3 linked regions of the Schizosaccharomyces pombe genome follow. The gene in region 2 interacts genetically with the main gene of each other region. Each region holds a gene or a part of one and is shown on either strand. Other genes may lie near its edges.

Evidence for each region.
Region 1: mutations in fkh2 (region 2) and cdc25 are lethal when combined (synthetic lethality), as found in Schizosaccharomyces pombe (2 studies listed by BioGRID, with this or other methods).
Region 3: of fkh2 (region 2) and sep1, a mutation in one rescues a mutant of the other (synthetic rescue), as found in Schizosaccharomyces pombe (2 studies listed by BioGRID, with this or other methods).

What each region holds. Positions count from the first base shown.
Region 1 is NC_003424.3:480,419-484,018, reverse strand, and holds the start of cdc25 (protein tyrosine phosphatase (M phase inducer) Cdc25), read left to right. Parts: upstream 1-1,645; 5' UTR 1,646-1,733; exon of another isoform or gene 1,734-1,833; 5' UTR 1,834-2,478; coding exon 2,479-3,600. Other genes in the region: hxk1 (hexokinase 1), read left to right, coding at 1-572.
Region 2 is NC_003423.3:4,240,796-4,244,395, reverse strand, and holds the start of fkh2 (DNA-binding forkhead transcription factor Fkh2), read left to right. Parts: upstream 1-1,677; 5' UTR 1,678-1,733; coding exon 1,734-2,245; exon of another isoform or gene 2,246-2,537; coding exon 2,538-3,600. Other genes in the region: regulatory protein ntu1, read right to left, coding at 6-36, 307-396. UniProt on the Schizosaccharomyces pombe protein: Required for promoter sequence element PCB-driven, M-phase-specific transcription. Acts as a transcriptional activator with a role in the regulation of mitosis. Binds, cooperatively with mcm1, the CLB cluster regulatory elements throughout the cell cycle.
Region 3 is NC_003423.3:3,133,523-3,141,991, forward strand, and holds the start of sep1 (DNA-binding forkhead transcription factor Sep1), read right to left. Parts: upstream 2,583-8,469; 5' UTR 1,965-2,582; coding exon 1-1,964. Other genes in the region: dss4 (guanyl-nucleotide exchange factor), read left to right, coding at 4,084-4,386; thr1 (homoserine kinase), read right to left, coding at 5,029-6,045; ade1 (phosphoribosylamine-glycine ligase/phosphoribosylformylglycinamidine cyclo-ligase), read left to right, coding at 7,200-8,469. UniProt on the Schizosaccharomyces pombe protein: Required for promoter sequence element PCB-driven, M-phase-specific transcription. Acts as a transcriptional activator with a role in the regulation of mitosis. Regulates septation and the periodic transcription of cdc15.

The sequences.
Region 1 (3,600 bases), on a different chromosome or scaffold from region 2:
GACCCGGTCTTCAAACGTACGAGAAAATGATTGCTGGATGCTATTTGGGTGATATCTTGCGTCGTATTCTTCTTGACCTTTATGAACAGGGAGCTCTCTTTAACGGTCAGGACGTTACCAAGATTCGTGACCCCTTGGCCATGGATACCTCTGTGCTCAGCGCTATTGAAGTTGACCCCTTTGAGAACCTTGATGAAACTCAAACCCTATTTGAGGAAACCTATGGTCTCAAGACCACCGAAGAAGAGCGTCAATTCATTCGTCGTGCATGCGAATTGATTGGAACTCGTTCTGCCCGTCTTTCTGCGTGTGGTGTATGCGCCCTTGTTCGTAAAATGAATAAGCCATCTATGATTGTAGGTACTGATGGTAGTGTCTACAACTTATACCCTCGTTTTAAGGATCGTCTTGCTCAAGCATTTAAGGATATCCTTGGTGAGGAAATTGGCAGCAAAGTTGTTACCATCCCCGCCGAAGACGGTAGTGGCGTAGGTGCTGCATTGGTCAGTGCTCTTGAAGCCAAAGGCAAGGCCCTCACTTCTGATATTCTTGCCGAGCATCTTAAGAATTAAGTCCACTCATTGTTTTTAGGTTTTACGGATACTCATTTGATTTTGTGTCACTGAACTCCACGAAGTGTTCGACAAACTGTTTTATACTGCACTTTTTATTTGTTTCATACTCCATCTTTTTGCGTACAATTTGTTCCAGCAATTTTTATGGTTACACTTTTCTTTGTCTACTAATCACGTATCAGGGCGTTTTTACAAAAAGGTGCTCCACCTGATAAAATATTTTCTTTTTTGCTCTAGTGTTTCTGTGGATACGATATCTGCCTCTGATTGCTAGAATACTTTAAATAAAGGTTAGAGTTTTGTTATATTTTGTATGTTGAAGTGTAATAATAGCGGTATCTTTGTTGAAGATATCCGAGTTTAACAAGACAACTGGCTATACTATCTTGCGAAATATGCCTACTACGACAATAATGGTATCAACCCATAGCTACATAACATCGGGAGACTTTCAATGAGTTACACCCTCGTTTTCCAATTCGGAATGACAGTCCGAGTCCCGAAGTAGAGAGATTCATCGTGTTACGATTATTCGCTAACACCTGATAACATATTTTATCTCGCTGCTCGTGTTACATATCAGGAGTGCGGGTATGAGATTATGGGGATTTAATGGCTGTCAAGCAGGTTACCTGACGTTTGTTCTTATGTATTTGTTTACACATACACAACATTTGGCGTTGCTAGGGCAACAAATCAGACAAACTGCGGTGGATCGAATAGCTGAGATGTATGGACATGTAAACAAACATACAAGATGCAAAAATTTATGTGTTTTCATCTAGTTCAATGTTGTTAATGAAATGATTATTTGCTTTTATATAATTAATAGATTAAGAGGTGACATATTGTAGCTTGAAACGGCATTATCTACGCAACTAAACTATACAACAATAGTTGTCATGGCTGAGGTGTTGGCTAAGTATTACAGCTTACAGTTTAACTTTGCTTTAATCATGTATTTGTTTTTATTATTGTTTTCTGTTACTCGAATTTGTTGGTTGGTGTTTTATTGTTGTTGTTACCTTTGCTTTTTTTTCCTCTCGGAGGCAGAGCTGAGATTTCTCTCTACCCTCAACTATCTACAGCGCTTCAAGCTCTTCTCCTTTAGATCAAGTGTATTACATTGAAAATATTATTCTTAAGAATACCAAAGTTGTAAGTTTAAAAAGAACTTGATGCCTGTTAGTTTCGGGCATCCTTCTCTCCTCAAGTTGGATTCCTGTTGATGCTTCTCAAGTACTAACTGCTGGTTCAGTGATTTTTTGAAACGTCTATAATACAATTGCTTACGCTTTTTAAGGCAATTAATAGGATTCTTGAAGTTATTTGTTCAAGAAGCCTTTATATGGTAAAGTGGGGGGTTTATTACTTGTAACGAACTTTGAGTCTGAACTTTTGGGTATTCTGTTGTTTTCATATTAATCAACTGCTTTCTTTTAACTTTCTTTTTTCTTTCATTTTTTCTTTCAACGACAGTATCTTTTATATTCTATATTATAGTCGTGACCGTTGGTGCTCATCTATTTTTGTCTCATTAATCTCTTTTTTTTTATATACTTTTATTCGGTCTTCCCGTCGTGTGGAGTCTAAACTTACTTAAACTTCTTTCCGGTTTCTTTTGTAAAGGTTGGTTTTGTTTAATATTTGGCTATATTGCTTTCATCCTGTCTTTCTTTTAGTTTTCTTTTTGTCTCACTTTGGCATTAATATCTTAAACCGGTCTTTTGACTCTTCCCTAGGATTTTCCTTTATAATTTATCTTACTTGCTCTATTGATTTCTCATTCTGAAACTCAATCTTTTGCAGTCGTGTCGTCCCATTAGTTCTTTTTGCAGTGTACTTGGTTTAAATTAAATTTACCATTTTGTCTGCTTTTAATAATAGTTAAACCTCAACTAAAATGGATTCTCCGCTTTCTTCACTTTCCTTTACCAACACTCTATCTGGCAAACGGAATGTATTGCGTCCTGCTGCCCGTGAATTAAAGTTGATGTCGGATCGCAATGCAAATCAAGAGCTGGATTTTTTCTTCCCGAAATCCAAACACATTGCCTCAACATTAGTGGATCCTTTTGGAAAAACTTGTTCGACAGCTTCACCTGCATCTTCCTTAGCTGCTGATATGTCAATGAACATGCATATCGATGAAAGCCCTGCCTTACCGACTCCTCGTCGTACGCTCTTTCGATCTCTTTCTTGTACTGTAGAAACCCCTCTCGCTAACAAGACTATTGTTTCACCTCTCCCGGAGTCACCCTCGAATGACGCTTTAACCGAGTCCTACTTCTTCCGGCAACCTGCATCGAAGTATTCCATTACCCAAGATTCCCCACGTGTTTCCAGCACTATTGCTTACAGCTTTAAGCCTAAAGCATCAATCGCATTAAACACCACCAAAAGCGAAGCTACTCGTTCGTCATTATCGAGTTCTTCTTTTGATTCCTACCTTCGTCCTAACGTCTCACGTTCTCGATCATCAGGCAACGCACCCCCATTTTTGCGATCCAGATCGAGTTCCTCATATTCCATTAACAAAAAGAAGGGAACTTCTGGTGGACAAGCTACCCGCCATTTGACTTATGCCTTATCCCGTACCTGTAGTCAGTCGAGCAACACGACCAGCTTACTTGAAAGTTGTCTTACTGATGATACGGATGATTTCGAATTAATGTCTGATCATGAGGATACATTTACGATGGGCAAGGTTGCTGATTTACCAGAAAGCTCTGTTGAACTTGTTGAAGACGCTGCCTCTATTCAACGTCCCAACAGTGATTTTGGTGCTTGCAATGATAATTCTTTAGATGATCTTTTTCAAGCTTCACCCATTAAACCTATTGATATGTTACCCAAGATAAATAAAGATATTGCCTTTCCTAGCTTGAAAGTTAGGTCCCCTTCTCCGATGGCATTCGCTATGCAAGAAGATGCGGAATATGATGAGCAAGATACACCAGTGCTTCGTCGTACCCAAAGCATGTTTCTCAATTCCACAAGACTAGGGCTTTTCAAAAGCCAAGAT
Region 2 (3,600 bases):
CTTACCATAGTTATATGCTATGCAATTCGAGCAAGGCTGAAAAAGTTAGTAAAGAACAGAAATTTATATTTATTTCTAATCGCTCATCCAAATTAATGCAAATAAGATAGAAAAAGAGCAATAAAAGCCAAAAAAATAATAAATTAACGACAAAGGTTATCCGCATGCTCTCTAGCTGAACTGAAATCAATCAAGCTACAATCAACTTCAGAGAAAGCGGTAACTGGGTGAAGTGAGTTCTCAGTTCCCAACTCAAATAATAAAATTATGCAAAACATAAATAGAGCAAAGAAATTGACATCTTACCCTTCTCTGATCACATTTGATCTTTCTCCTGTGACATTCATCACATGCTCTAGAAACACGCTGTCTACGAGATACATCGCCGGAAGACATTCAGCAGCCTATCAATAAACTATGTTGAAGCCTGCTAACTTCAAACTTGAGGGAGAACAGGTCTTTTAATTTGTATTTATCGAATCGTTGTTACCGGTTTTTACAACCGAAAGTTAACGCAAGTGAGCAAAAATGCAGTTTATCATTCAAAATTTAACGCTTTGAAACTAAAGGAATTTGGTGCTTTAGATAGGTAAATAAATAAATAAATGGTGATCGCTGCGAAGCGATTATGGATGATATACGCGACAGGTTAAACCTACGAGAGTGTGTGCCAGCGATCGTATACATCCGCTAAATAGTAATTACTCGTTACTTCACGTTAGCATACATGTGTAGGTGAAGCAATGAGATTATACCATGCTAAATGTTTTTGTTGCGGTATGTTAAATATCGTTATAAGCCTGACATCTTCACGTGTGAGTTCTCCAATGAGTCCTGAAGCTGGAACCATCAAGCCGTTTATTGACTATTTTCAATATTACTGAAGAAAAAAGTATGGGAAATAAAGATCATTCAAGATCAAGTTTGTCTGTTCATGTAAGCCACATATTATTTATTATAATATCAAAGTCTCTCCGTGCCTGAGTTATGTTCGGTAACTGTATATTGCATAATACTTTCTGTTGTGTACCACACATTATAGTGCGCTACGAACTCACCAAATAATATTACGTATCCTACAGAGACTTCGCGAATCGCGTAGTTAGTAAAAATATGGAAAATAACGTGAGTAAACAGTTGAGCGTTAATATTGCAGCCACACAAAATCGGTTGATTGAAAGCGAAATAATGATTCGGAATTTCCATAAAACACAATTAATACTCTTAGTGTATTCATGTAATAGCTTGTACAGTTCTCAAAATAAATCTTCAGTAGACACGTTTTAAATAATAGGGTAATTACTAGGATATGCACGCGACCGTTAGACGCCATTACATGTGCAAAAAACACTGAGTGCTGAAAAGCTAAAATTATTACAAGTCTTGCAGAGTTATGATTGTTTGAGTTTTTTTTTTTTATAAGTTAATCCTACGCCAATATATTAAGAGGATTTTTTTAACTGCTTAGTATTTAAAAAAGTATATCGAAGATCCGGTATCTTGATTGTTTACAAAAATATAAATAGCAACGATAACAAAGACGCATTGTTGACAAAAATAAAAAATGTACAAATATTTAGAAAAATGTATATTTTAATTTCTATGTATCTAAAATGATGGTCAATATTAGTTATACCGTGAAGCGCTGGCAACGGAAGGTAAACGAATGTTGACAACAACAAACGAGTGTAAATAAACACACACCAACAGCACAATTGCTGTAGAAAGGAAAAATGACTGTTCGCAGACTCGAAAGCAAGTCTGAGCATATATCAGATGACGAGGAGAGAAAAGAACAGTTAGATTACAAAAAGCAAATGGATGTAGACACAGATCGTAACATTGTATTGAATGGTCGCCTGGAATCCCAAATTGCGAAGTTGTCCGTTCCACCTCACGAAATGAGAGTGGTCGATGATTATTCGAACAGTAAAAATGCGGAAAGACACTCTGGAGAAATACAAGCTTATGCGAAATTCGCTGGAAGTACATGGACTTATTATGTTAAGAAAATTCGAATTATACTTGGTCGCGAACCAGCAAATCCTTCACCAAAGGGGAAAAATGAAGATTTAGAAGTAATTGATATGAATTTTGGTCCTTCTAAAGTTGTGAGTCGAAAACACGCTGTTGTGGAATATGATTTGGATGACCAAACATGGAATTGCTCAGTTTACGGTCGAAATGGCATTAAAGTAGATGGCAAGTTATTCAAGAATGGGGAAACAGTCAAGCTTACAAGTGGGTATGTTAAAAATCATTTACTAGAATAGTGTTGGTTCGTCGTGATTTGCGACAGGACGGAATATTGATGGTTTCAGCAGCGCATAATTTATGCTTTACTCTTTCATAAGTTCTATGGTTTTCTCGTGTTATTTGTCAATTTTAAACGAATGTTTGGTTATTTTATAAATGCGCGTTAAGGATTTGTCAAATTATCAAGAAAATAATTATTTCCGTCCTAGTTCAAATAAATGCAGGAAATTATGCCAATTATTTTTTTTTATTTCTTTTTCGTCTTACTAATTATCTACTAGATCTATACTCGAAGTAGCGGGTTTACAAATGATGTTCGTACTACCCAATGCAGCTGAGCAAAAGCAAACTGACGAAAGCACTATAAAGGAGGATGCTATAAAGTCTGAAATTTCCGCAGCCGTAAACGATGCTGCTGAATATGGTGATAATAAAAAACCACCATACAGTTATTCTGTTATGATTGCACAAGCAATTTTATCTTCTTCTGAATGCATGATGACTCTTTCTAACATATATTCATGGATTTCAACACATTACCCATATTATCGCACAACAAAAAGTGGATGGCAGAATTCTATCCGTCACAATTTATCTCTCAACAAAGCATTTCGAAAGGTTCCACGGAAGTCAGGTGAGCAGGGGAAGGGAATGAAGTGGTCGATTGTGCCTGAATTTCGCGAAGAGTTTATTGCAAAGACTAGAAAAACACCGCGTAAACGCTCGCCCTCCTCTCCTGTGCCATTATTAGCAAAAAAGAGAGAGGGTTCTCCATCATTACCAATTCCCATCCTTCCGAAAATGAAGGACACCTCTATTCCGGCGGCGGAGCCAGCCTCATCCACTACATCTGCTCGTGATCAAACTCCTTCAACTCCTAAAGATGTGGGCTCACCCTCGACTGCTGAAACCTCAGCAGAAGAAAAGCAAATGGAAACCTACAAAACGCCTACACATGCTGCATTATCTGATATTATTAGCACCCATGATTATGCTTTAGATGCTAATAGTGCTTCTCAAACAAAAAAGGCTGCATTTGGATCTCCTATTGGATCTTCTACATATCCAACGTCTTCTCCTGCACCTTTTTGGAAATATGTTGCAGTTCCCAATCCACACGATTGGCCTCAAGTAGGTTCATATGACACAATTTCACCTTACAGAAATCCGGTCAATAGTCACTTGATATACTCTCAAATACAGCAATCTTCACCGAAAAAGATTGATGAACAATTACATGATTTACAAGGTGTTGATTTGGTCAATGGTTTTGAAGGGATTAGCTCCTGGAGAGAATCTATGGTAAATAAGTTACGCTCTTCAGTTTCCGACTCACCGACAATG
Region 3 (8,469 bases), 1.1 Mb from region 2:
AGTGGCATTTTCCTCTTGGTAGGAGAAGGCAAGTAAGTATCATCTTGCGCGGCTGAAGAATGAATAGTAGTTGCTGAAGAAATATATTTTCTACGCACCTCACGTTTAACAGGAGACACTTTTCGATTGCTATTAAAGTCGGAAAAGTGATTTTCAAAACTCAACATATCCATGGGATCCAAAAAATCATCTTCAAAGGTATCAAACGACTTGCTCATGGGTAGCTTGCTTGGTGTTTCTAAGCCGGCAACGGAACTAATGTTATTGGTAAAATAAGATAATGATCCTCCATCAAGTAAGCTATCACCTTTAGGACTTTCAGATAGCGTTACTTGTTTAGATGCATCTCCATTACGTAGAATTGAAGACTTCAAAGGCGTGACTGACCAAAACTCTGCATCAGATGATGTTAAAGATGATAATTGCTTTGCATCAGGTGTAGCCAGCATTTGCAAGATACGAGTTCGATGCTCCTTCAAATTTGTATTCGGACTTGCTGAGATACCACTCATATCAGAACGGATGGGTGAAAGTAAAGAAAACTTAGTGTAGTCATCAGCCACGATGTCATCACGAAAGCAAAACAATTTAGGACACAAGGCCTTCGGGGGGGTTGGAAAATCAATAGAATTTGATCGCTTTAGCAAAAGTCCACTGGGATTTTTTATGGTAGGCGAGCTAGGTAAAGAAGGTAAACGGACTGCAGGGATCTGTAGGGTATTAGTTGTACCATCTTTTAAACCTTTCTTGCCGAGATTCGTTACAGTGTCATTAAAACCCAACACGGAATCATGAACTGAAGGGGTTTCAACATCCTTCTCCAAATGTGATACAGGTGGACCTTCTACTGGTGCATCATCTTTATTCAAACCCAATGATTTAGCTGACTTTATTCCCAAAGATTCATTCCTAAGTGATTCAGATGGAGAAGCACTGGATGCTGGTGATGACAAAGGAGGAGATGGAGAATTTGTACATGATTGTAAAGGAGAAGTTACAGATACGACAGAGGAAACACCCAAATCGGAAAACTTAGCTTCCAAATCAGAAGGTGCATCGATACCAGGGGTATCTACATAGGGTTGTTGACTATGAAGAGGATGAAAATTTGTGGCATTAACATTAGAGATCGTCGGAATGTTCGTTAAGGATGCAGTATAATAATTCTGAAGATATTGATGTCGCTGATTAAATATATGGGGAGAAGTATTAAACGTGTTAAATCCAGAGGAACCGGTAGAAGATCCATATTTTGTAGAGGAGGTAACGTCTTGAACAGGAGGCGCTGGTCTTGAATTTACTCCTGGTTTACGCAGCTTTAGTTTTAGAAATTGTTCTTCATGACCAGGACGAATGCTCCAAAAATGACCCTTCCCCGGTAAATTTCTAGGACGTTCAATTTTCATGAATGCCTTATTTAGACTTAAATTATGGCGGATGGAATTTTGCCAACCGTTATTGGACTTATTATAGAAAGAAAAAGTATTGCTGATCCAATCATATATAGCACTTAAAGTGAGACGACGATCGGGAGAACGGATTATTGACATTCCAATTAACATAGCATAGGAATAAGGAGGTTTCTTTCCATCATCTAGGGGTAAGAAAAACTCCTCCGGTTCTTGAGACTGAGAAGAAGATACAGAAGGGTTTCGATATATAATAGTATCCAAAGATTGCTCCGAAGGAGGAGGTATGGGAAGAGGAGGAACAGAATAAGTCAATCTAGTATAAGAAGGTATATATGGTCGAGTGGCTTTTGAAGAAGGTTTTTGAAAAGATGCAATGTTATTTTCTTTTCCGCCTGCAACTACGCCCTTCAACTTTGAAGCAACCTTGGGATAAGGTGGTAAAGATTGCAAAGGAATTTCCTGATAAGCAATTGGGAGTTCAGAGTACTTAGAAGCATTGTTAAGGTTTTTTTCATGAGTAAAATAATAAGGGTTAGTAGAATTAAAATTCATGAGGAAGATGTTCAGACAAATTGAATAATAAAACAAAAATTAAAGCACCGTTAGATAATGGCAATGCCAATAATAATAATGATTAAAAGAGAAAACCAATTAAGGGAAAATAATAGTAATAGTGAATACTACTATACTCCGGACTTACACAAACATAGATTGTCAGTATGCGGACCAAAAAGAATGAAGTATTTTGCAAAATTCAAAGATTTGAAAAGAATTAATAATAATAGTACTCAAAGGACAAAAAAAAAATTGTCCGACCTTGGATTCTCGCACTAGTGTTACGACAAGGCACGATTCCGAAGCACAAAAAAAAGAAAGAAAGAAAGTGTGGTGCTCTAAATTCACAATCCTTTACAACCAAAAATAAAGTCTTAAGTCTAAGACAGAAATAATTATAGAAATAGGTATTACAGTATAGGAAGCAAAAGATACAAACTCAATACTGGATGCTGTCAGAAACGAGAGAAATGCACAACGAGATACTAATATTGCATAAAAATATTAAGATTTGTAATAGTGATACACAATCGTGTCAAATATCCTTTCGTATCAAATGCTCCGAATTGCTCCAATTTTGGACGTTTGCCAAAATATGAGTGTACGAGATGAGATAGAAATCTCCACCTCGTGAAAGCGGATCCTCTATTTTAGTGACAATATGTCATAGAGCCGAAAAATCGATTACGATGTTGGGTTGTGAGTATTTTACTAACAGTAATAAGGGTATACGTTATGATACGTTAAGCTGCCAATTATCCTCCTTCATTAAGTATGCCCTTAATTTGACACATTTCTGGTTCCATAGTATTAACCATACAGTAAAACGTTGTTTTATTTTTTGAGGTCCTATAATTAGAAATTTAAATGAAATGAGGCACTAGTTTCAGTTATGAAATATTTTTTTAGTGAATAGCTATAATATTATCTTCATACTAAAATATTTAATAACGTCGGATGTTCATGCAACTTAAATATTGCTATAAAGAGAGTATAAGTTGAAGTTGAGCTTAGTCTAATCATATCAGTTAGTGGTTGACAAATTTTAGGTGATTAATACATTTGGTTAAGAATCAATAGCATGCGTTATATTTTTTGTATTATTTCAACAATAACAATAACGATGATTGATAAATTGACTTGGCTTAGAAACTCATTTAGTTAATAAAATAATAATATTTCAATATTTGGAAGCTAATAATATTCTTTGTCACATAACTGAATCGAGAAGTTCACGGAGCTAATCAAGAATACTTCTTTTTATTAAGGATTTAGACAAAGTAATCATAGTAGCAATAATTCGAGCAAAAATAGCGTAGTTCTATAGATTTCAATTAAAATATTAGACAATTGAAGGGATGGCACACGATTCCTACACATTTACATTGAAAATTGCAAGTGCCAAGCTAATTTCCCAATTTTGCAGTCTGCACACATTCAAAGTTTGATTACAATATTTCTTTCAATGCCGTACTTCTAAAATTTTAGTTACTAGAAGAAAGTTCAAAAACCACTGTGTACAAAGTTTTAGTATGTGTCAAGGTTGCAACACGGAAAGCAAATTGAGTAGAAAGAAAAAGGTTCTGTATTTAACATAGAAGGATAGAAGAATTATGTGTCCGAATTTCTAAATTTGAAAATAACTACTATATGAACCAATGCATCAGGCGAACTGATATGTCTCGTTTAACATTAAGAGAAAGACAATATTCAAGAACACATTAGACGAGCAAATAAAAATTTTTTGCGTTTTCTTTTATAATAACTTACTAATTATGTGGTGAAGTTTAAATATAGTGAAAACCAGGCCATGTTAATTTATGAAACCAAATAGCATGTCAAAAAAAAAGAAGTTTTCAGCGTCTAATTATTGATTTGCTTCTATCGTCAAAATGCAAAACATTGTTTTCCATATCTTCATTGCACTAGACACGTCAGTACCTATTTTGGAAATGAATGCTACATGTATTGAATTAAATTTGAAGAACTTGTAATTAGCATTTAAACTTTTAAAAGTTTTCTCTTGTATTTTTATTTTTTTAATAGGTTATATCCACAAAAAACGCTGATTGGCGCTTACTACTAACTAACTACCACCATATTGTTTTCCTAAATTATGTCGAATTTGCGAATTGTTTGTCAACATTGCCCTTCAGTCGTATTTAATAACAAACGTCCAGATGTTGTTAAGAGGCCAACAATGTCAGCTATGCTGCATTCTGAAACACAAGAAGATCTAGAAACTGACGATTTTTTTCTTCTAAAAGATCCGTTTGCTTTCGACAACGTTAGCGTATCAAAACCCTTAGCAAATAATTATAAATTACTTGCTTGTGCTGATTGTGAAAAAGGTCCGTTGGGCTACTATGATTCTAAGAACAATGAATATTTATTGCTGTGCTCATTGGAGAAAAACTAAGCTTAATAATAAGTTTATCAAACAACTGTGCTATTTATCTTGGTTATAGCATATTTTTGTAAACGTTACTTATTTGATATGGAATGGTCTTTTCCATGTGTCTTTTTATTCTTTATATTTTTTTAGAAGACTTGCAACATGGCCTTACAAAAGACAGGTATGTTGTGGTTTCATATTGAATAGTAACCACGAAATTAGGTATATTTAAATGGAATTATAATGTTTGTTTCTTATTAAAAAGTTCTTTTGTAGCTTACACCTTTGTTGTGATTAGATTTTAATCTTATCGGGTATTAAATGAAATTAACCTTGACTAAACAAAATATACCTTACGATTAAACCAATGTTTTTTTAGCACTAATTTAAAATTTGAAGAAAGCACAGTGAATGTGTTGTACATATAATCAGCTTTTGTCTTCGTAATTACCGATAGATATAAATCGGACAAGAGATATAATCTAAGAGCATAAAATTTTATAACTGTATCTATATTTTATTCAAAAAAGAAAAAACCAAAAAAAACCGTGATATTAAATAAAAAAAAGGAATGATAATTATATGGTATAATTGGAATCCCAAATACATGTAAATGCTTCATTCACGTGTTAATATACGGCAACGCATTATTCATAGTTATCCAATTCAAAAGTATTTGACTGTTGCACCGTCAAATGCAGGTGAAAGAACTAAATATCTACACTTGACACCGTGTTTTTCAAAAATGCTAAGCATTGCATGGGCAATTTCGTCGAAATTTCCGGTTGCTAGTGCAAGAACGGTAGGACCAGCACCAGAAAGACAAATGCCGCACAAACCAGGTTGAGTGTCAGGGTTAAGAGTTGCAAGAATGTTCTGCAAGCCTGGGATCAACGAAGCACGATATGGTTGGTGAACTTTATCCTTCATCACTTCATAAACTAAATGAGGATTTATGGGAGTTTGGCCTAACGCAGTTGTGAGCAAAGCCAAGCGTTGCAAATTATAAACCACATCAGTTCTACCATAAGAAGTAGGAAGCACACTCCGTGCTTTAGAAGTTGCTAAATGGAATTCAGGGATTACGACAATTGCCTTTAATTCAGAAGCCCATGGAAGCCTGGCAAAAGTACCTAAAGACTTGGGAGGTAAAGTTAAGGCTTCGTTTTTCAATAAATCATCAGCAGATGGAGAAAATGCATTCTTTTCTTCCTCAGATAGTTCTCTGAGAAATGAACCTACGAATCCACCCATCATGGACGCCATTACATTGTCTGGGTGTCTTTCTATCATTAGAACATAATCCATCATTTGCAGTTTGGATAGACCAAGTTTTGCAATCTCGTTTGCAAGCATAACACCTGCAATGGCAGCCGATCCACTAGATCCCATACCACGACCGAGAGGAATGGGATTTATAACGTGTATTTTGGTAGCATAGGGAAATGTAGAAATGTTGTTGCAACGTAAGACATATAAAGAGGTTTGTGTTATCATGTTTTTCTGGACATCCAAGGAAACGTGTTCCTTACCGTCTCCTTCATATGTCAAGACACAAGGTCCGCTTTCTGTGGATACTTCCACATCAAGGGTCATGTATTCCTCAAGAGACATTCCCAAGACATCGAAACCAGGTCCAATGTTAGCGGACGAAGCTGGAACTTTTATTTGAAATTTCTGCATTCTCACAAAAAAAGCAAACACCACAAAAGAAATGAGTTTGTTTTAATAAAAATTAAATATATATATATATATATCTGTTAAATAGTAAAAAATAATGAACGGTTTGACTTGAAGAAAACCGACTCTATAATCGTACGGCTTGCTAGAAGCAGGAACAAGTTGAAAGATCGCTTTAATATGCACGAAATATTTTAAAAACAAGGAAAAAGAGAAATGCAAAAATTACGAAAATAATATAACCGCGAACCGATAATTTTCAAAATATTTCCAGATCAAAAAAATAATAAGTATCTATTCCCAACAATCAAATTGCTCGTAATTAAAAAGTAAAAACAATAAAAAAGAAAGGTTGATAATTTGAAGGAAATGAAAAACCCAAAAAAGCCTCGCTTTCTATGAAGATATAGGCAAAGAATAGTTTTCGCTGCCAGAAAGTTGCAATGTTTACTACCTTTAATTCCCGATTTAACACGACAAAATCACCGGACACACTCAATAAAAAGTTAAATTGTGCGCAATCAAATTGCTAACAAGAGTGTTATCGTGCGCTGAAAATGCTGTGAAAAAGGTAAAATTTGATGTTGGTAAAGATTTCGTGCACATCGGGAATCCCCATAAGCGAACCCCTAACTCGAATACGAAATTACGCACTCGAATGCCTAATCTATTAAGTTGATTTTGATTTGAAAAGTGTCATGTTACCCGCACTTTTTCGCAAAACCAACTTGAAATCCGGAAAACTGGAACAAAATGCAGTTTGCAGTTATATATTATCTATATATGTTATATAAGAGAAATTTTTTTTTCGCCAATTTTATTCTAATGAACTACCAACACAAGTTCTGTAATATAACGAATTGTGCTCGCATCTGGAATGTTTAATTAAAGAAAATTAACGCAACACTAAGTACTTTATAGAATCGGAGCATATTGAAACGATGCAGCGATATTGTACATTACAAAGATAACAGTCAAGATTTTCTCTTAAGCAGAAATTGCACGAATGGAGTCTAGCAAGTACCAAGCGCGTGCTAATTAAAAAAGCCGTTTTTGAGCTTCTTCTTATTATAGCTGTAAGTTTTAAGTCACTATTTTTTGCAGTCAGTGTGTTAGATACTAACTTGCAATGGTAGCTTGCTCGCTGTAACGAAAGCATGGAACCCATTATTGCGTTGCTGATTGGCAATGGCGGTCGTGAACATACCATCGCATGGAAACTTTGTGAGTCTCCTTTAATTTCCAAAGTTTACGTGGCGCCTGGAAATGGTGGTACTGCAAGCAATGGAGCGGAATCTAAGATGGAAAATGTAAACATTGGAGTTTGCGATTTTGAGCAACTTGTCAAATTTGCGCTTGATAAAGATGTAAATCTTGTCATTCCTGGGCCTGAACTCCCTTTGGTAGAAGGTATTGAAGGTCATTTTCGTCGTGTGGGTATCCCATGCTTTGGTCCATCTGCATTAGCTGCTCGTATGGAAGGTAGCAAGGTTTTTTCTAAAGATTTTATGCATCGAAACAATATTCCTACAGCTGTATATAAGTCCTTTTCCAATTATGATCATGCAAAAAGCTTTTTGGATACATGCACCTTTGATGTAGTCATCAAAGCTGATGGACTTGCTGCTGGAAAAGGTGTAATCATTCCGAAAACTAAAAAAGAAGCCTTTGAAGCTTTAGAAAGCATCATGTTAAATGAAGAGTTTGGATCTGCTGGTAAAAATGTGGTTATCGAGGAGCTGTTGGAGGGTGAAGAATTATCTATCTTGACATTTTCTGATGGTTATACTTGTCGTTCGCTTCCTCCTGCTCAAGATCATAAACGTGCTTTCGATGGTGATAAGGGTCCCAACACTGGAGGTATGGGTTGCTATGCTCCTACTCCTGTAGCTAGCCCCAAACTACTTGAAACGGTCCAATCCACCATTATACAGCCTACCATCGATGGAATGCGTCATGAAGGTTATCCATTAGTAGGTATTTTATTTACTGGATTAATGCTTACTCCCTCTGGCCCCCGTGTCTTGGAGTATAATGTTCGTTTTGGTGACCCCGAGACTCAAGCAGTATTACCCCTTTTGGAATCCGATTTGGCTGAGATTATCCTTGCCTGTGTGAACCATCGCTTGGATGCTATAGATATTGTCATTTCGCGTAAATTTAGTTGCGCTGTTGTTTGCGTTGCCGGTGGATATCCTGGACCATATAATAAAGGTGATATCATTACTTTTGATGCCCTAAAAGACAAAAATACTCGTATTTTTCATGCTGGTACCTCAATCCGTGATGGCAATGTTGTTACCAATGGAGGACGTGTACTTGCTGTGGAGGCTACGGGAGATTCAGTTGAGGCTGCTGTTAGATTAGCTTACGAAGGTGTGAAAACTGTTCATTTTGATAAGATGTTCTACCGTAAAGATATTGCCC